Kluyveromyces lactis: one gene and its partner. The protein of the gene in region 1 interacts with the protein of each later gene in a biochemical or structural test. Links are inferred from orthologs where the notes say so. Each region holds a gene or a part of one and is shown on either strand. Other genes may lie near its edges.

Evidence for each region.
Region 2: of the proteins of HEL2 (region 1) and RPS20, one has a biochemical effect on the other in vitro, tested with the Saccharomyces cerevisiae proteins (3 studies listed by BioGRID). The link is inferred for Kluyveromyces lactis from reciprocal best matches to the Saccharomyces cerevisiae genes HEL2 and RPS20.

Annotation. Positions count from the first base shown.
Region 1 is NC_006041.1:1,473,809-1,482,245, forward strand, and holds HEL2 (E3 ubiquitin-protein ligase HEL2), read left to right. Parts: upstream 1-5,513; coding exon 5,514-7,484; downstream 7,485-8,437. Other genes in the region: trifunctional formate-tetrahydrofolate ligase/methenyltetrahydrofolate cyclohydrolase/methylenetetrahydrofolate dehydrogenase ADE3, read right to left, coding at 1-513; peptidylprolyl isomerase ESS1, read left to right, coding at 1,535-2,023; phosphatase YCH1, read right to left, coding at 2,034-2,486; PCT1 (choline-phosphate cytidylyltransferase), read right to left, coding at 2,784-4,013; GEP4 (phosphatidylglycerophosphatase), read right to left, coding at 4,706-5,275; PEX10 (ubiquitin-protein ligase peroxin 10), read right to left, coding at 7,564-8,437. UniProt on the Saccharomyces cerevisiae protein: E3 ubiquitin-protein ligase that plays a key role in the ribosome quality control (RQC), a pathway that takes place when a ribosome has stalled during translation, leading to degradation of nascent peptide chains.
Region 2 is NC_006042.1:2,367,065-2,377,204, forward strand, and holds RPS20 (40S ribosomal protein uS10), read left to right. Parts: upstream 1-5,655; coding exon 5,656-6,009; downstream 6,010-10,140. Other genes in the region: MCO14 (4a-hydroxytetrahydrobiopterin dehydratase), read left to right, coding at 1-522; NFU1 (Nfu1p), read right to left, coding at 673-1,443; KLLA0_F25498g (uncharacterized protein), read left to right, coding at 1,932-3,437; KLLA0_F25520g (URC4/urg3 family protein), read right to left, coding at 3,820-5,091; YLF2 (Ylf2p), read right to left, coding at 7,129-8,358; deubiquitinase OTU2, read right to left, coding at 8,552-9,505. UniProt on the Saccharomyces cerevisiae protein: Component of the ribosome, a large ribonucleoprotein complex responsible for the synthesis of proteins in the cell.

The DNA.
Region 1 (8,437 bases):
GATATCGGATCTACCAATGACAACTGCTTCAGAGCCAGCAATAGTAACTCCAGATCTTTTCAACAGTTCAATGATACCTCTTGGAGTACAAGGTTGGAAATAAGGAGTACCATTACGCTTGTTCAATTCACCGATATTGACGGGACCGAATCCATCCACGTCTTTACAAGCGGAGACACGTGACGTGATTTTATCCTCGTTTAAATGTGCAGGAAGAGGTAGCTGAACCAAGATCCCGTGCACTGAATCATCGCTATTTTCATCGTCGATCTGACCGAGCAATTCCACTTCGGTGACAGTTTCATCCAAATGGATAAATTTAACATCGATTCCAGCATCTTTAGCAGCCTTTAACTTCATCTTAACATAAGTGTTCGAATCAGGTCTGTTTCCAACTTGGAAAATGGTCAAAGTGGGACGGAAAACTGCATATTTCTCCTTTAAACTAGAGATTTCATCCTTAATCTCATCGCGAATGCCATTGGCAATAGCTTTACCGTCGATGATAGCCATAATTTCCGAATAATGTATGGGTATAGAACCTTGCGTGATGATGCTTCTCGAAAACTTTAAACTGGATTAGAGTTGGATTCTCGAAACAAAAATAGATCACCTCTTGCTGTATATATATATATAGTCAGCCCAGCGATGAATATAACCCCGACACTGACCAATTGAGCTATCAAGCAATTGATGAACACGATAAAGAGACCTGAATGTGAAAGGTAGGGCCATTCCAATGGTTTCTGCATCGTTTAGGTACCATTTGATTCCATTTTCATTTTTCACAGTTCAACAAGTCAAAAAAGGATATTCATGTCACGTGACATGCATGAGAGATACGTTCCAACACCTTGGAACGGTAAGGACGAGCAGTATATGGCTTGTATGTCACTTGAATGCAAGCAAAATACAAGTTACGTATCAAGGGTCTTCTTGTTCACTAGCGGAATGTTTGTATAAGTACCTATGAATCAACTCATATGTATGGCTTCATGTATCTGACTCTGACGCGCGTCACGCGTCAGAGTCAAATCTTCTCTTTCGGACCAAATGATTCCCTCAGAAATTGCTGTACGATACCGGCATTCGGCATTGTTTTTTTGACTGGGAAAACGTATCACGTGAATATCACGTGAATAAAGGCTGTTTCCTGAATTCTGAGTCTCTGTAGTTAAGACACTTGTGATAGAATGATTACTTTCAGGTTGGAAAGATGAAAGAGTGATAGAATGGTTCATTCAAATGCTACATACTCCGATGTACCACCAATACAGTTAGTGATATATTATATGGGACAGTGTTTTCAAAGCGCACAACTGAGTCTTTTACCCAATAACAGCACATTTCCAGACTCACATCACGTGACTGAATTGTCACATTCACTCATTTATATATAACGGGAAAATGAATTGAATGGGAATTGAACTGAACAGTAACAGCAGGTGACAATTTAACTACACTGTACATATTATGTCTCCATTATTGTGATATATAACCCAATCTTATAATTTATCTACCCCACAATTTCGTCATGGCAGGTACAGGACTTCCAGAACCCTGGGTTATCAAGTTTAGTAGATCGAAGAAACGTGAATACTTCTTCAACCCGGAGACTAAGGAATCGGTTTGGGAGGCACCGTCAGGTACAGATGAGGACCAATCAAAGAAATACTTAGAGGAGAACCCATTGAGGGTCAGAGCTTTGCATCTCTTGATTAAGCACAAGGATTCTAGAAGACCAGCGTCTCATAGAAATGAAAATATTACCATTACTAAGGATGAGGCTAAAGAAGAATTAGAAACTTATATCAAGAGATTGAATGGTGGTGAACCATTCGAATCATTGGCTAAAGAGAGAAGTGATTGTTCATCAGCGAAAAGAGGTGGTGATTTGGGGTTCTTCGGTCATGGAGAAATGCAACCTTCTTTCGAGAAGGCTGCGTTTGCTTTGAAAATCGATCAAGTCAGTGATATTGTAGAATCTGACAGTGGTCTTCATATCATCAAAAGAGTTGCCTGAACAGGACTCTTCACCATAAATCGGGTTTATAGTTTTCTGTAACAGCTTCATCTAACCCATAATTCGATTGCCAGTAGTTAAACCCGCCTTTCAATACCCATATTTGGAACCTGTTCAACTGAGATTCTGGTATCGACCGTAAAAATAGCATAGCAGAGCTAGGACCTCTCTGTTGTGATTGTGCGCAATGGAAAACGCAGTTAATAATTTCTGATGCACCATCAGCTCCGATTTCAGCTTTATCAAGTAATTCTTGTCTCAATGTATCTACGTAATTCAGATCCGATTTAAGCCTTCTGTAAGGGTAGTTCCAGGATCCCTTGATATGTCCACCTATATGGTCTGAACCTCGAACATCAATGACTTGGAATGGTTGTCCTAGAGATGTGTGTCCTTGTTTAATCCACTGGTATAGGTCTATTGCGTCTAGATATTTCAATGAAGATATGGAATGCGATTGCATGATGAACTTACGTTGCAAAAAAAGCTTCAATCAACTGAGGATCCAGTAAAAAAGTGTCTATTTCGAGGACCGTGATTCGCTGCTATTTGAATTAACCTTTCTATTCTCCTTCTTTTCTTTGATCGTTCACTTAGTTAAATGAGTGGTTAAAGTTAAAATGTCAACGAAATAGGGCATATAAAAGAGAGAGAGAGAGAAATGTATGTAAGTATACAACGGGTACAGGATACATATATGCGAACGAAGTAGAAATGATATCAAATAATAAAAAGTAAAACAACAAGTATATGAGGCGTTTCAATCGGTAGTTGGTGACCTTTCCCTGTCCCCTTCCTCTTCGTCGTCATCTTCATCTGAAAACAAATGATTCGGCGATTCAGAACTACCTCTATGCAGTTCAGGATCACTATCACTAGTTGGAGATTCAACCTCTTCACCAGTGTAGTCTTTCGCGAATTGAGTTACTGGGGATCTACCCGAAATCCTTTTACTTCTTCTAACGCTTTCATGACCCATGGGTCCAATAAGTTTTGAATACAACTTCTTTCCAAGTGTCTTTTTAAGAAGCATTTCTCTAACTTCGAAATACAAGTCCTTTGATGCGACGTTGACAGATTCTTGGTTCTTCTTGAAATACGATCTGAAATCTTGAATATGTTTCTTGAATTCCAATTCGTTCTTCTTCAACCAAGATACGTTCAACTCCTGTCTCGTGGCACCTCTTGCGAAATTTCTCATCAAGTACTTGTCATAGTCTCTGATGATCTTGGTGATAATATCACTGGTAGAAACACCTTCGGTACGTTGGGTAGTTAAAAACTTACCCATTGCTTTAATTGGTCTGTAGATATCGTCATTATCAGCACTAGCGTATGGTAGATCGTCATGTGCCACATAATCGATCTTGTGTTCTTCTAAAAATTTCGGCGTCACAGTCCATGGGGCATCCGGTATCACTTCATCAACCCATCTACAATGTGTCAACGTCTCGCATCTCTGCTTATCGGTAAGGACAGTCAACCCTTTCAACTTGTGCGTCACTTTATCGCTTGGAACACCACAAATCAACGTCACGTTGGGGAACGACTTCTTACACTGTTCCAATTGTTTCATATGACCCAAATGGAAAAGATCAAACACACCATCCGCATATATACGAATCGGACGATCTGTTGGTGGTAAATTGAACTTGAAGCCCTTAGGTCTAAACTTTCTATACTCAACAGGTAGCTCTTCATCCAACTCCTTTTCCCTGGCCTTGAAATCATTTGTTTCAGAGTGTGGTCTTTTCCGCAAAGGACCTTCCGATTCCTCAGTCTCTGCATCTTCGCTGGTTGTTGTTGTTGTTTCAGATACAATCGATGCTGCTGCATCTGGTGCAGTATCGTTACTTTCTACTCGTTCATCGTCACTTACTGTCATCTCATCGTGGGACCTTTTCTTTCCCAATTTGAACAGGTTAGTGAAAGAAGCACCTGTACTAGAAAGACGTTCTTTCAAGGAAGGAGCACGAGTAAGCGGAGCCATTGTGTGATATTAGTCTAGTATGCTAAAGAAAATGTCTGTTAGAAGGTTACCAGTGCGTGCTTGCTATTCTCATTGAACGAAAGGTGTCTAAATTCAATAAACCCTAACACTAAAAACACTCAATTATAAATTCAATTGTTTCAAAGTTACCAAATTACAATTCAAAACCGTGTTACCACTACCAATTCAACCATAATCAACCATCAGTCAAACCGTGAGCATGTCAAAACTCTGAGTTGAAGACCTAAACTTATGTCTATTCGATGCTTAATTTCTGTGAAACTTTTTTGTTCTTTGGACGCATTGTGGTAGGTCAAGTGGGACCATTATTTTTCACATGGGAGAAGTATAAACATACCACGTGATATAAACAAAGGCCGGGTAAATAATATTATTTATTCACAGTAACAAATATATAAACAGCTAATGGGCGGTTAAACGGTGGTTAAAACTCTGGCAGTAACATGTGACAAAGCAGAGTGCGGCAACCACCTCTACAAGTCAAAGTGTATTTCAGCTGATGTGGGACGCCAAGTATGAGTAGTATTTGCACCAGATGAATTATGTGGGATTTACTGGGGAGAAGAAGAAGGTTGGTTCATAAGTTGGAGTCACGTGACGTATACAGTCACGTGACATAAATATTCATTTAACCACAGAAGTTAGATGAACTGCCATCAGGCGCCTGGCAATCACCTTTGCAACCAATTATACACCTGCTGCTCGAGCAACACAAACGGATTAGAGCTCTTGATGACTCCTTCATGTAACCACACAGAGTATGCACCCATTGTGTTAGCCATTACCACATCGGTGAATAACCTGTCACCCACCACTGCGACCTCGGATGGATCTTCACATACCTTGCTTTTCTTGAAGTAGGCCATGATTTCGACATGGCATCCTGGTTTCTTAATCGAATGCAAGAGCACTGGTACGCCAGTGCTCTTCTCCAGTGTCTTCGCCTGAATGTGTCCAATATCATCGTTCGTGCCTGCACTGTTACTGACGATTAGCAACTTTTTCCCCGGGTACAACTGTTTCAATTTATCCCATTGTTCTTGATATTCAGGCCATACTTTGTCGTCATGTGGTTTTGCGAAACAGTTGTCCTTATCAAGGACTATGGCTTTGATGTGACTCGGTAAAGGTAATTGTATCTCATTGAAATTCGCATACTTTATACTGGGAATGCATAGTTTAGGATCTTTGAACAATCTGGCTACGTTCAAAGTAGCGCTTAAATTGAACCCTACAACCATTTCCCAAGGGCTGATGCAACAGAATGGTATGAGGTCGGTCAGTTAGCCTTATTACAGCAGAATTGAACCACCATCCATCGCTAACGCCTATAAATGCCTTGAAAAAAAATTTGTATAATATCAAAAAAGTTGCGAAATGAAGTTTCCACTTCCGAAAGAGTTAACATTAGTAAGTTTACAGATGGGCCTGAGCACTCAATCAGACCAAATAAAGGATCTCTTTTATTGTAGAGCATAGATGTCTTCTAACCAGGGAATTTCTACGGCGTCTGCGCCAATTCGGAGAGCGCAGGGCCCGTCTACATCAAATCGTGGAAGGAAAAGAGGAAATGGCAACCAGAATCATCATGCCACCACCAGCGGTAGCACTGGAAATAGCAGTTCGGTGCATCCAGATTGGAATCCTGTAACTGGCAGCTCAAATAAATGGGCTGGCATTAACGGCAATGAGAAATCTATGGGGACTGGCAATGGGACAGATGATGATGACTCAAGCAACGTGTGTCTGATATGTGCCGAAAAATTGCATATCATTGCCCTATCACCGTGCAACCATCCTACTTGTCACAAGTGTTGTTTAAGACAAAGAGCGTTGTACGAAAAGAAACAGTGTTTGTTCTGTAGAAGTGAAGTTGAGGATATCATCTTCACGGATAAGATAAAAGAAACTTATGAGCATTTGGATAAGAAGGCCAAATTGGAATTCAAGAACGAGAAATTGGGGATACGGTTTACCAGCAAAAATGTTATGAATGATGCTATGAATCTTTTGAAATACGTCTCACCGTTTGGAGATGCCAATAAAGATTTTGGATCGTTTAAGAAGTTGAACGAATTCTTGAGACAAGAACATAATAAGACAATATGTATGATTTGTGCTGGGCATAAAAAAGCGTTCCCCGGCGAGTTAAAAGTTATGACTGTTAAGCAATTAAAGATACACGAAAGTCGTGGCGACCCTAAGGATGGATTTAAAGGCCATCCTATGTGTGGATTTTGCTCTGGTAAAAGGTTCTACTCTGACGATGAGCTTTATAAGCACATGAAACTTTCCCATGAAAGATGTCATATCTGTGATCAACTAGACCCATCACAACCGCAATATTTCAAAAACTATGAGGACTTATTCGAACATTTCAAATCAGCCCATTACGTATGCACGGTACCGTCCTGCCTCGATGCCAAATTTGTCGTCTTCAGTGATGAGTTGGACTTAAGAGCACATATCATCAAAGAACATCCTCATCTTGCAGGTGATAGCAGAAGAGCTATGACGTTGATAGATAATACCTCAAAGAAGTTCAGATCACAAATTACTACGTTCTCCAATCCAACAAGAATTATAGATGCACAGAATGAGGAATCAAATTCTGCAAACTCAAGAGATGTCAAAAGGAGGAGAATGGAACAAAGAGCAAGACATTACCTTGGGAACTCTGAACCAGACTTCCAGTCCTTCTTAATCATCAATGACCTATTTAACAAAAACGAAATTTCTGCTCAAGAGCTTCAATCCAAATATGAAGACTTGTTTAAGCAACACGCGGATGATATACAATTACTAATTTACGATTTATCGGAGTTATATCATTCAACTTCGGATAAACACAAAAGATTGCGTGCTATATACGAAGGCATTATGAAGAAGAAAGAGAATGCAGGGAAATTCAAACCTCTCGTCGCCGATTCATCATCTTCGGTTAACGTAGTTTATGGTAAATGGGGTAAAAAGAGTTCTTCTGGTGTTGGCGGGTCGAACGTGAAGTTCACGTCTCTACCAGCTGTATCCGAACCTATATTCTCCTCCAAAGCCTCGTATACTAATTTGCGGAAAAATGGCTCTTCTTCACCGTCCTCTCCAGTTATTAGGAGCGGTTTGACTTCCAATTCATCGTCATCAACTTCTTTAAACTATGCGAAGAAGAATCAATCACCGCCAGGTTCTTCAACCGTTGTAGTGAATTCACAACCGAATGTGACAGCTATCAAATCACCTAATCCAACCAGCTTCCCCAAGTTACAAGCTACTAAGAAAAAATTTGTTGCACCTCCAGTGAAACAGACTACCATACCAAACCCATCCACTTGGGGTAAGCCTCAAAACGACAACGATTCTATCAACTTGGATTCGTTAGACAATGCATTACCAGCTAGTGGTAGTAAGAAAAAGAGCAAACAAAAACAACTACTGTTCCATATTGGCATATAGATTTAACCCCGTTATATACAGCAGATTGTTTTAATAATACAAGAAAGCTCGCTGAAACATTTAGATATTCTTCTAAGCTTTATCTAACAGGTATCGTCAGCTGTCTCGGACACCTTTGCCTGCATAATGGACACTCCTGTCTTTCTAACGTCCATTCCATGATACAATCCCAGCAGAAAAGGTGACCACACGGAGTCGCGCTGGGATCCAGCATATAGTTAAGACATAAAACACACTTACGTGAATCCTCTTTGATGAAAGGTAGGACTTCTAGATCGCTAAGATCTTTTGAGGTGTGTTTTTTAGCTAATGCACTTAAACTCTTGTGGCTCTTCCCATCATCTGTTCCAATTCTGTCAGCGATGTATTCTGCAATCTGCGGTAAAAGCTTAGAAGCTAATTGCATACCAAGTATAAAACCAAGAATCTTGTAGTTTTGCGATGACTTCTTCTTGAATTCTACCTCATTCTTGTTCATTTCATGGCCAACCACATATCTCATTCCAAATATTCTCTTTGAGATATCATAATACTGTCCGCTCAAGTAGAATATAATTAAGTGCAAATTCAAAGTGGAATCCAAGATGTCCCTGAAACTCTTGCCATTGAATACTTTCAAGAAACCAGATCCCCTCTCATTGAGCTTATACTTGTAGAATACTTTCGATAATATCCACGGTACCCCACAATAACTGATAGCGAAACCAATCCTTCGCAGGAGTCTCGCAACACCTTTTCCTCGCCTATCAACATACGCCAAATCAACGTACTCTTCTCCAAGCGTTCTCCTATACCTTAGTGTTGTAATTGACAAGTATATCAACTTGCTGAGGATCATTATCTCACTAACATACCTGTTAGTGAACTGTTGTCCCTTAACTTTCCGTAGTACATCCTGGATCTTTTGTAACAGCAAGTTTTCCACAGTATCATCCTTTTGATGCGCCTGAACT
Region 2 (10,140 bases), on another chromosome or scaffold:
TTGAAGGTGTTTGTTCAAAGCACTTTTGATAAAATGGTGCTTCTTGTGTTTTGTTTCTTCTCAATATTTTTAGTTAATAAAGATTTCTTACATCTTGGAATTCTATCAACTACGCATAGAGAGATGCTGGAAAAGGTAATAAATGCCACTCTTCAAGCACTGAATAGTATAGACATGTACAATAAGATAGTAAAACAGGTACCAGTGCTGTTGCCACCAAAACTTCTGACACAAGAACTCAGAAAATTGCCTAAATGGAGATTAATGGAGAATGAATTGGTTAGAGATTATAAGTTCAGAGATTTTGAAGAGACATGGAGTTTTTTGAACAAAGTTGCCATGAGGTCACACTTATGGGGCCATCATCCTACAATTACTACTACCTACAACAGAGTTCAGTTCAGACTCACTACGCATGATGTATCTGGTATTTCCGATGCTGATATCATGATGGCTTCTCGGATTGAAAAATACATCAAACAAATCGATCCCAAGAAGGGCATCCTAATAGGGGATAAATAGAATGTATTAAATAAATAAATAATAGTGTACTTCTGTTTTGCATAATACCTTGCAAATACATGCTGTCATGATTCATTCCTTGCTTAGTCTTAGTTATGCCTGTACGTTTCTTTCATTGCTAGAAAGAAGTGACATACTGGGCAATTGCAATCATCTCTTACTGCTCTCCAGCTTCTTCTCAAGTTTTTCGAACTCCGCAAGTGCAATCTTCTCCTCAGGATCCAAGATCTGAACCACGTCCTCTACTTCTTCGATGTAATGCTTTAACATAGCTTCAATACCATGCTTCAAGGTATCCTCACTGGACGAACATGACTTACATGCACCTTGTAACTTCAAATAAACTGTCCCTGTCTCCGGATTCCATCCACGGTACTGGATATCACCACCGTCGTCCATAATAGCAGGTCTGATCCTTGTCTGAATCAATTCATCGATCATCTCGCTGATCTCTTGCTCATCTTCATCGTATTCAAATTTAGGAATGTCCACATCGTACCCAACTTCGGAAGACTTTTTCACGTCGAAGAAATCTGGTAAAAACGTGGGCTTCCCACTGGCTAAATGTTGTACCAATAGATCTATCACCGTAGGAGTCACTTGGTTCCAATGAATCAGTTCATCTTTATTTATAGTGACGAAATCATCACCGATCATCATTGCTTCAACACCAGGACATTGCTGGAACACTTTAGATGGGAATGGAGCATGTTTCAAAAGCTCCTCATCAGTGTTCTTGATCTCAACACTCTGTGTGCCTTTCTCCTGTAGCAGCCCCCCATCTGTGGAAACAAATTTCAATGCATTCTCATTAGGCGTTGTAAGTGTCTTGATATGAATAGACCTCTGCCATACGGGATTCAACACCGTTCGATGTACGCTCTTATAAAACTTGGGACCAAAACTAAACCTTCCTAACATCCTCGCAGTTTACAATCCGTTGTCTTGCAACTTCTCATCCTTTCTCTATATATGCACAAACCACTTGTTAATCATCTTAGCATAAGATGAGTGCTTTGTAATACTAGAGGAAATTCCTTTAATTCGAAATCTCTTGAAAATTACGTTTTTTCAGATAATTTATGGATTGAACATTTTAGAGAAATGAGAAAATAAAAGGTCCCTTTTACAAGAAATGACCCACTAGATATCGTAACAGAACAAAATTTAATGGAAGGCAGCAAAATATACTGAGACGGTTTCCGACTGTACAAGAACAAGGTTTTTCTTTCCAATTGTGTGCTATTTATTCTTATCCAGTGGTAGCTTGTGAATTGTGGACCCTACTTTATATCCGAGGCTGTGTGATTCTTAAAGAGACGAAATAAAACTAATTGCCGATCTTTTCTTGAGAGTCTAGGAAAAAGGAGAGAATAAAGGCCTATAATTAGCTTTTGATAGACAATACGATGAATTTCAAATTGAATTGGGTCACTTTGTTTTGTACGGCCCTTTGGTTGCATTTTGCGACGGCCAATAAGGGTACTATCACAGAGAAGCAGAATCAAATCTGCAGTGGTATGTATTCTAAAGAGGATTGGAGTGGTCGTGTAGATCCATATATTTCGTTCGATTTAAAGAAATTGAACAAAGAAGGCATCTCTGTGGTGATCTTTGATTTCCAAGATTACATCCACATTGGGGCTAAGACGAAAGCGGGTGTAGTTAAGTATATCTGTGACGAAGAAGCGATAAAAGAGAATCTATGTCAAGAAAAGAACAAGAACCAGTTTATCATTTCACCTGAAGCGTATGATCCAGATAGTGATACCGAAAAGTCATTAAGTGCCGACATTCATACGTTCTATGTGGGAAATACAGGTCTTGTGAAGGACAAATATGCCATTAAGAAAACTGGTTACTATTGTGTTGGTACTTACGCTAAGGACACTGGGATCTCTTACAAGGCTGAGGTAAATTTCAGGAATAGTTTTGGTAATCTAGCTGCTTCTGAAATTAACAAATTGCCATTGTATGGGTTATTGGCAATCTTTTATGTTGTCGCTATGGCCTTGTACTTATTTGCCTTCTGGAAACACAAGCATGAACTATTGCCCTTGCAAAAATATTTACTGGCTGCATTTGTGTTTTTAACCATTGATACAATCTTCATTTGGGGTTACTATGACTTGAAGAACACTAAGGGTTCGACCGCTGGTACCACTGTTTACATGGTCATTGTTTCAATCTTGAACTCTGCAAAGATCACCATGTCTCTATTCTTACTTCTTGTTATTTGCAAAGGTTACGGTGTGGTTTACCCTAAATTGAACAAGACCACGATGAGACGTGTTCAATTTTTCTCCGTACTTACGTTTGCTATATCTGTCGCTGCCCTTATTCAAAACTATATGACTCCTTCAGATTCGACATCCATGGTCCCATTGTTTTTCTTTATCCCATTAGGCATCTGTTTCATGATTTTCTACTTCTTGATTCTACAATCCCTCGATCAAACTGTCAAATACTTGAAGCAACAAAAGCAAATCGTTAAATTGGGCATGTACAAAAAATTGATAATTATTTTTTATGTCGCCTTATTCGTTATTTTTGGTGGTATAATTCTATCCTCTTTTGTTTTAATCGGTATGAGTAGTATCGAGATGGTCGAACAACATTGGAGAACTAGATTCTTCTTTGTGGATTTCTGGCCATCCTTGGTATATTATGCCGTATTCGTTGCTCTTTCCTTCACATGGAGACCTACATCTACTTCTTATATGTTAGCTGTGTCGCAACAATTGCCAACAGATCCAGAAAATGTTGCAGATTTCGATCTAGACGATTTGCAATCTTTGGAACAAGAATGGAACCAAGAGTACGAACAACCAGCCGGATCTGAACCAAATGAAGCAGACCTAAATTTCTCAGATGATGAAAACGATAAGAAAAAGCCGGTGCAACCATCAGCCTGAAGGAATTATTTTCCCAAGGCTATTTTATCCAAATTTATCAGGGAAACAATGTGCCACCAAAAATAAATTACTTTTCTAGATGATCGTCAGAAGTTGCCACTGAACTGATAATTTATTCTTCATAAGGGCGTTTCTTCTTTATGTTGAATTCATAGTATAAGTGCGTGTGTATAGTCAAGCAGCGTCTAATTATATTCGTAAATAAAAAAATGCAATATGTCAACACATCGATACAAAAATCTACTCCGTTTATTCTTTTCAGTTCTTAACGTCACTTTTAAAAATCAAAATTATGAAACATTTATAAATATAAACTAGAATCATGACATTCAAGATAGGATATGGCAAAGTTGGAGCCAACTGTTCTAATTGCTTGAGCCTTTCAAAAAACTGTGCCATCACTGTGTAAATTGATCGGTGGCCCAGATGTTTTTGATCTAAGTTCTGCGGCAATTTCTCTTCCAGCTTTCCAGGTTCCAGCTTCTATCAACTGTGACAATTGTAAATTAGAACCTAATTTATCGTTTACTAATGGTAACAAGATGTCCAAGAGCCCAATGGTAAGACATCTCCATTCTACAATTACACCATCATCGGGCGTGAATGTTGGGATTGACGGATCATATCCATACTTCTTCGAATTAGTCAATCCAATGTTCAAATATTCTTCTTTCAAAGATAGTACACCCAAATCGTAGAACAACCCCCCGTTTCTGTACTCTGGTAGACCTGTTTGCAAGTCCTTGGAAGATATATTGAACTTGTAGCCAAATTCCTCTAGTGGTCTCAATAATGAATAACATAACCACTGCGTCAATTTATGAAATGACACGATAATTTCATCGTTTTCGGTTTTATACACCCAGCAATCGCCTAAAGGTTCACCGTTCAGAGTTAATCTTCCAGTAGGCCATATAGAGGTATATCCAGTCATTAGAACCTCCCACAACTGTTGCAAATCAATGTTTTCAGAGCCATTTAATTTGTAAAGGTGATCAATTATATTACCAGGCCTGGCATCTTCACCGAATAACTCAGGTCTTTCAGAAAGGGATTTCCCTAAACTTCTGATCAACTGAATTCTACCTTCGTAACCTTGCAAAGAGTTCTTACTACTTATCTGAAACCCTTTATCAAAATCTTGTTGACTGAAGTCTTTCAATCTAGAACCTTGTACTGTCTGAGATTTATCATGCGATAAGGCACCATCTTTGAACATATAGAAAGAGGCCACCGCTAGTCCTTCTGATCTGTTAATCTTAGTTTCTTTCTCAACAAAAGACCATTCTGAACCTGCACCAGCATCGACAATCACACTAAACGTTATCAAATCAATCAACCGTCTGCATACCTCCAAAGGATCGATGTTCTGGGCAGCCCAGGAATTAATGAGAGATCCCATTCTATCAATACCGTTACAGTTTAAATGTTGCCATCTTCCATGAACAGGAATATCGCCTAGGTTCTTGTAATCTCTTTCAATAATATTGACCAAGTAATCTGTCACTTTCGACATTTTACCCAGATCCACTTCAAAATGTGTACTGTCACCATTTTCTGTTTGCAAAGGGGGGCCGTATACTTTCTTACAAGTTTCCCTAACGGATTGAATGGATCTTAAGTACTCCAAGTCTTCGCATTCTGTGTGTGTCATGATAAATAGCCAGTATGTTGGTTTTTGACAGTTTCAACGGGAGATAATATACAATGCCATCAGAATTAGTTTAAGCGAAGTATCAACTGGGATAGAACTATTTCATTCACTAATGAGTGTATTTATATACTTCGTGGATGGTACACATACATTATCCTTAATTCAATCCTAAGTGTATTGGAACGTTAGTTTGCACAAAAAAGGCATTCTTATCTTTTGCAATTGACCTGTTTCGTTATTCTGGCAACGATTGATCCTTAATGTTCAAGAATCTCCGTCGCACCTCCGACGGATATTACCGGGGACTGCTCATTCTTTATACACCCGTACATATATGCCATGGGATTCTACTTTTTTGATATAATCATCCTCTCTTTCCTAAAACAGAATACTATATGAAAATTTCATGATGTTCTATGATGTCGACAAGCTAGTGCTCCGAAGTTGAAATTCTAAGCTCTCCAAGATAGATGAGCATTAGCATGGTATTGTTAAGGTTACTTACAATTAGATATTAAGTCTATTCATGTCATAAGAAACCAATAAAACTAAAAGGTATACACGATGTCTCAAGTTGAAAAGAAATCTGAACAACAACAAGAAGTTGTGATCCACAAGATCAGAATTAACTTGACCTCCACTAAGGTCAAGCAATTGGAAAACGTTTCTGCCAACATCATCAAGAATGCTGAAACTTTCAAGTTGGTCAAGAAGGGTCCAGTCAGATTACCTACTAAGGTCTTGAAGATCTCCACCAGAAAGACCCCTAACGGTGAAGGTTCTAAGACTTGGGATACTTACGAAATGAGAATCCACAAGAGATACATCGACTTGGAAGCTCCAGCTCACATCGTCAAGAGAATCACCCAAATCACCATTGAACCTGGTGTGGATGTCGAAGTCATCATCGCTGCCTAAACGCACCGATAATGATGTATTGTCAATATCAAATTGGCATTCAATGAATAACGGGCAGGAAACTAAAGTGTTGACCAGATTTACTGCACATCCTTTGAGTTTTCTACCGACATACCTTGAATTCAAATTTTTTTATTTTACTTTTATTCGATATCCAGGTCTCAAGAAAGCTCTTGTATCCTCATTCTCTAAGATTATAGTAAGACTCCTATAAAGTATGGTCAATTGTGTTCAATATAGGATGGAACCTTTTTCTGACACTTCAAAAAATGACAACCCACTCTAGGTAGGGTAGTTTATCGTGTACCTCTATTCTACTATCAGTGGTTAAAAAATAATCATATCCTCTACCAACATCTCACTCATATTTGTTTGGTTACTGTCTGGTTTATTGGTTGCTTGAATGAGTAACTTTTTTGTTGTCATGTGTTAGTGCCCTCCATCCTTTGTGTATAATTCGTACATATTTTTTTAATGGAATATGATTTTAATCATGGGACTTCAAAGCAAGGCATTCAAGCTGACAACTCGAAGCAGAGACTTCTGCAAATGGCCTTTCTTCCACATCACTTTGTAACCCTAATTCATGTAAGAATTTCATGAACGCCAGTTTGGATGTGTTTTTTTTTTTCTTTTCGAATTTTTTTTTTTTGAAGTTTTCTTTCAAATGTATAAGAACTCGAACACATTGATGCAACTTGATACTTGACAAAGATCGATTAAAAATACCATTCAGATTAAATGCGGATCGTTTCCATACTCGAAGCATTCGGTAATCGAATTTAAACCACTAAGATCAAGTTACTTAGGTGCTTCAGCAGAAGCATCGTGTACTTCCGCTAGGAAAGACATTGAAGATAGAGGAGAGGGCTTCTCCATAATTAGTTTAATGATGAGAAAATGTCCTTAGTGACAATGCTATAAACCCAGCTCTTCGATCATTAGAAATGAGAAGAGATACCTGTCAAACGCTCTGATAATCACTAGTAATACAATGGAAAACGAAAACAATGCCTTTACTTTATTCTTTATACATGTCGGATCTTTACAAAGCTTATATTCTTGCAGTATGTACGCCTTTGAGTCTATTATCTTGTGTTGCTATGGGTATAGCCTCTATTATTTTTTACCACTAGTAGCTTTGAAGTGGATTATATCACCGTCTTCGACCACATATTGTTTACCGCCTCTTTTGATCTTCCCTTGAGACTTCAATTGCGACTCTTGAAGCGGAGGATCCATTTTTTTGATATCATCGAATTTTATAATGTTAGCACTGATAAATGTCTTTTCTAAATCACTATGGATAGTTCCAGCAGCTTCTGGTGCCAACGTTCCTTTCCTAATGGTCCATTGACGAGCCTCAATTGGTCCACAGGTGTAAAAACTGATCAATTGCAATAACTCTCTCATTTTGATGATAATATTTGGGAGTGCTGTCAGAGGTACTTCCAACTTCTCTTTACCGATGATCTCTTTGCAAAAAGCCTCAAATTCTTGGAGATTGTTGTCCAATTCGTTGTACTTCGTTTCAAGTTCAGCACTAAACAGCATCACTTCGTCTCCAGGCGCATATTCTTGGATCCAATCCTTGATTTTCTTCAAGAATTTGTTTTCTTGCAAAAGATAATCTTTGGGAGCAACGTTAAGTAGAACCAGGGTTGGTTTAGCTGTTAGAAAGTTGTGTTTATTCAGGATTTTAATCTCTTCCTCTGTCCAGTTCTGCTTGAAGTGTGACAATTTTCTTCCCTCGTACATATGGGCCTCTAATTCCTCTAGCAATCTCAGTTCAAGATGCATTTCTAAGAATTCTGGAGAGTTTTTCGGAGATCTGTTTATCTTTTTGTTAATTCTTTCTCTTGCACCTTCCAGCCATTCGAGATCTTTCAGCACCAGTTCATCTTGCACTAATGACAAGTCTCTAACTGGATCCACATTTCCTTCAATATGAGTAATTTCATCATTTTCAAATCCTCGAACCACTTGGTATATTCCGTCTACGTGCCGAATATCATTAAGGAACTTGTTTCCCAAACCTTCCCCACTTGATGCTCCTCTTGTTAATCCAGCAATATCGAAAATGGAAAGTGTAGCTGGAATTTTCTTCTGACTCTCATAGAGTTTATGAAGATGGTCCAATTTAAAGCTGGGTACAATAACCTTGGACTCTTCGGGTTCTATAGTGGCAAAAGGGTAGTTAGCTGGATTACCCAATTTCGACTTGGTTATTGCCTGGAAAAACGTTGATTTACCTACATTGGCCAATCCAACGATGCCTGAAGCTAGATTATTTGAAGGTCGTCCCAGTACGGTATAAAACCGTTTTATAGATTGGTGAATTAGATGCATGTATGTTGGCACAAGGCAATACCTTGCATTGAGGTCAGTTGATTGAAATTTAAGTATTATGAACTATTTCAAGATTTGATTACTCAATGTATCTTATATTGACAGAATCTGAAAAAAAAAAACAAATGATGGGATGAGATGTGAAATCGAACTTCTACAATAAGACAATACGAACCAACTATTGATAGTAAAACTACAGATCATGCAACGAGTTATAATGCTCTCCGAGCGTATACGAATGTTTGTAGTATACGATCTTGAGTTCGGGATTCTTCGCGTCTTCATTTATCCTGTAAGTGGATCTTCCTGACATCAAAATGCTAATGGTACTGTTAAAAACTTTTGATAGTGCCAAAATTTCTACTTCTCCACCCCATTGGGCTGTAGTTTCCATAGTTTTTGTATACTCATCAAGATCCTTTACGGTCATTGTATTTTCATCGAAAAGATATGGGATGAAATCGTCACGGTTCTCCCTAATGAATGATGATGAAAGCGATCTCAACGAATAGACGTCCATTTCAGACACGTACTTGGTACCTGTATATTCCTCTGGAAAGTTATAATCATACTCAATGTCATTATTAGTCTGATGGCGGAGCCTCAGTTGATCTAGAATACTATTAAACAAACAGTGTCCATCCGGCTGGATATCGAATTGTTTCAAATTTAGCACTACACAAACTTTATCCAAAGAGTTTTGCTCAATATCTTTCAAGTTCGGCTGCTCGGCTGCCTCTTCCATTGCCTGTTGTTTAATTCTTGCAACCTCTGCATCCCTTTTTGCCAATCGCTCCTTTTGTCTATTCCTACGTTTCTTTCCCTGTAACTCTGGTTCTCGCTGTTGCAACTCATCGGTTTTACAAACAGATTGCACAGGATCTTGATCTAAGGACAATTGAGCTAATAATTGAGCTGGTGTGATTTCTTCCGAATCAGAATGCTCAAAAGCAACACCGTTCAACTTTGCGAGCTCTGATTTATGTCGAGTATCAAGTTCCTGTTCTAAGTCTGTACATTTGGCATTTACTTGCTTCCTCGTCTTCTTTGATGCTTGCTTCTTCAAAGAAGTAATCTGATTGGTCAAATCTTTACGTTCCTTGCGATGACGCGCAAGCAGCTCCTCTTGTGCAGTTTCAGTAGACATTCACTTATTCTTGAGAGATTGCTTCAGAGAGGAGTTCCTTTATATAACAATAAAAATTGTTAGTATGCTGAAGATGAGATGAGCCTATTCATCTCACTTCTTCATTTTCAGGTTTTTTTGGTTTTCAGTTTCGCAGACCAGAAAGAGAGATGACGGCAGGATTAGCTACGAATAAAAAAAAAATCAAAAAATAGCGCCGCTCGGTTTCGATCCGAGGACATCAGGGTTATGAGCCCTGCGCGCTTCCACTGCGCCACGGCGCTGTCAAAGATGAAGTTTTAGTTTTTCCAACGACCAGATCACATCTGCGACAACTCCAGGCAGCTCCGGAATCATTTTCTTCGTCCCGTGCCCCCGCTGTTGAAATGACTTACCCCACATAAAGTTTCAAAAAAAATGAAAAATCCGGGAGCGTGTTAGGGAATTAACGACAGACCCTGAAGGAAAGTGAGTAAACGCTTCAAAGAGCGGCTTGAACATGTTATATTCCGGTCTACCCCGGAGAAAGATGTTTCACGCGCTGAACAGGAGAAGGTCATTGTATATATTCCTACTTTTTTCTGTTGCCTCTCTACTTTCTGGTGCTATTTGTAAGAGTTTTTTTTGTTTTTCATCTTTCCGCCGGATTGGTTAAT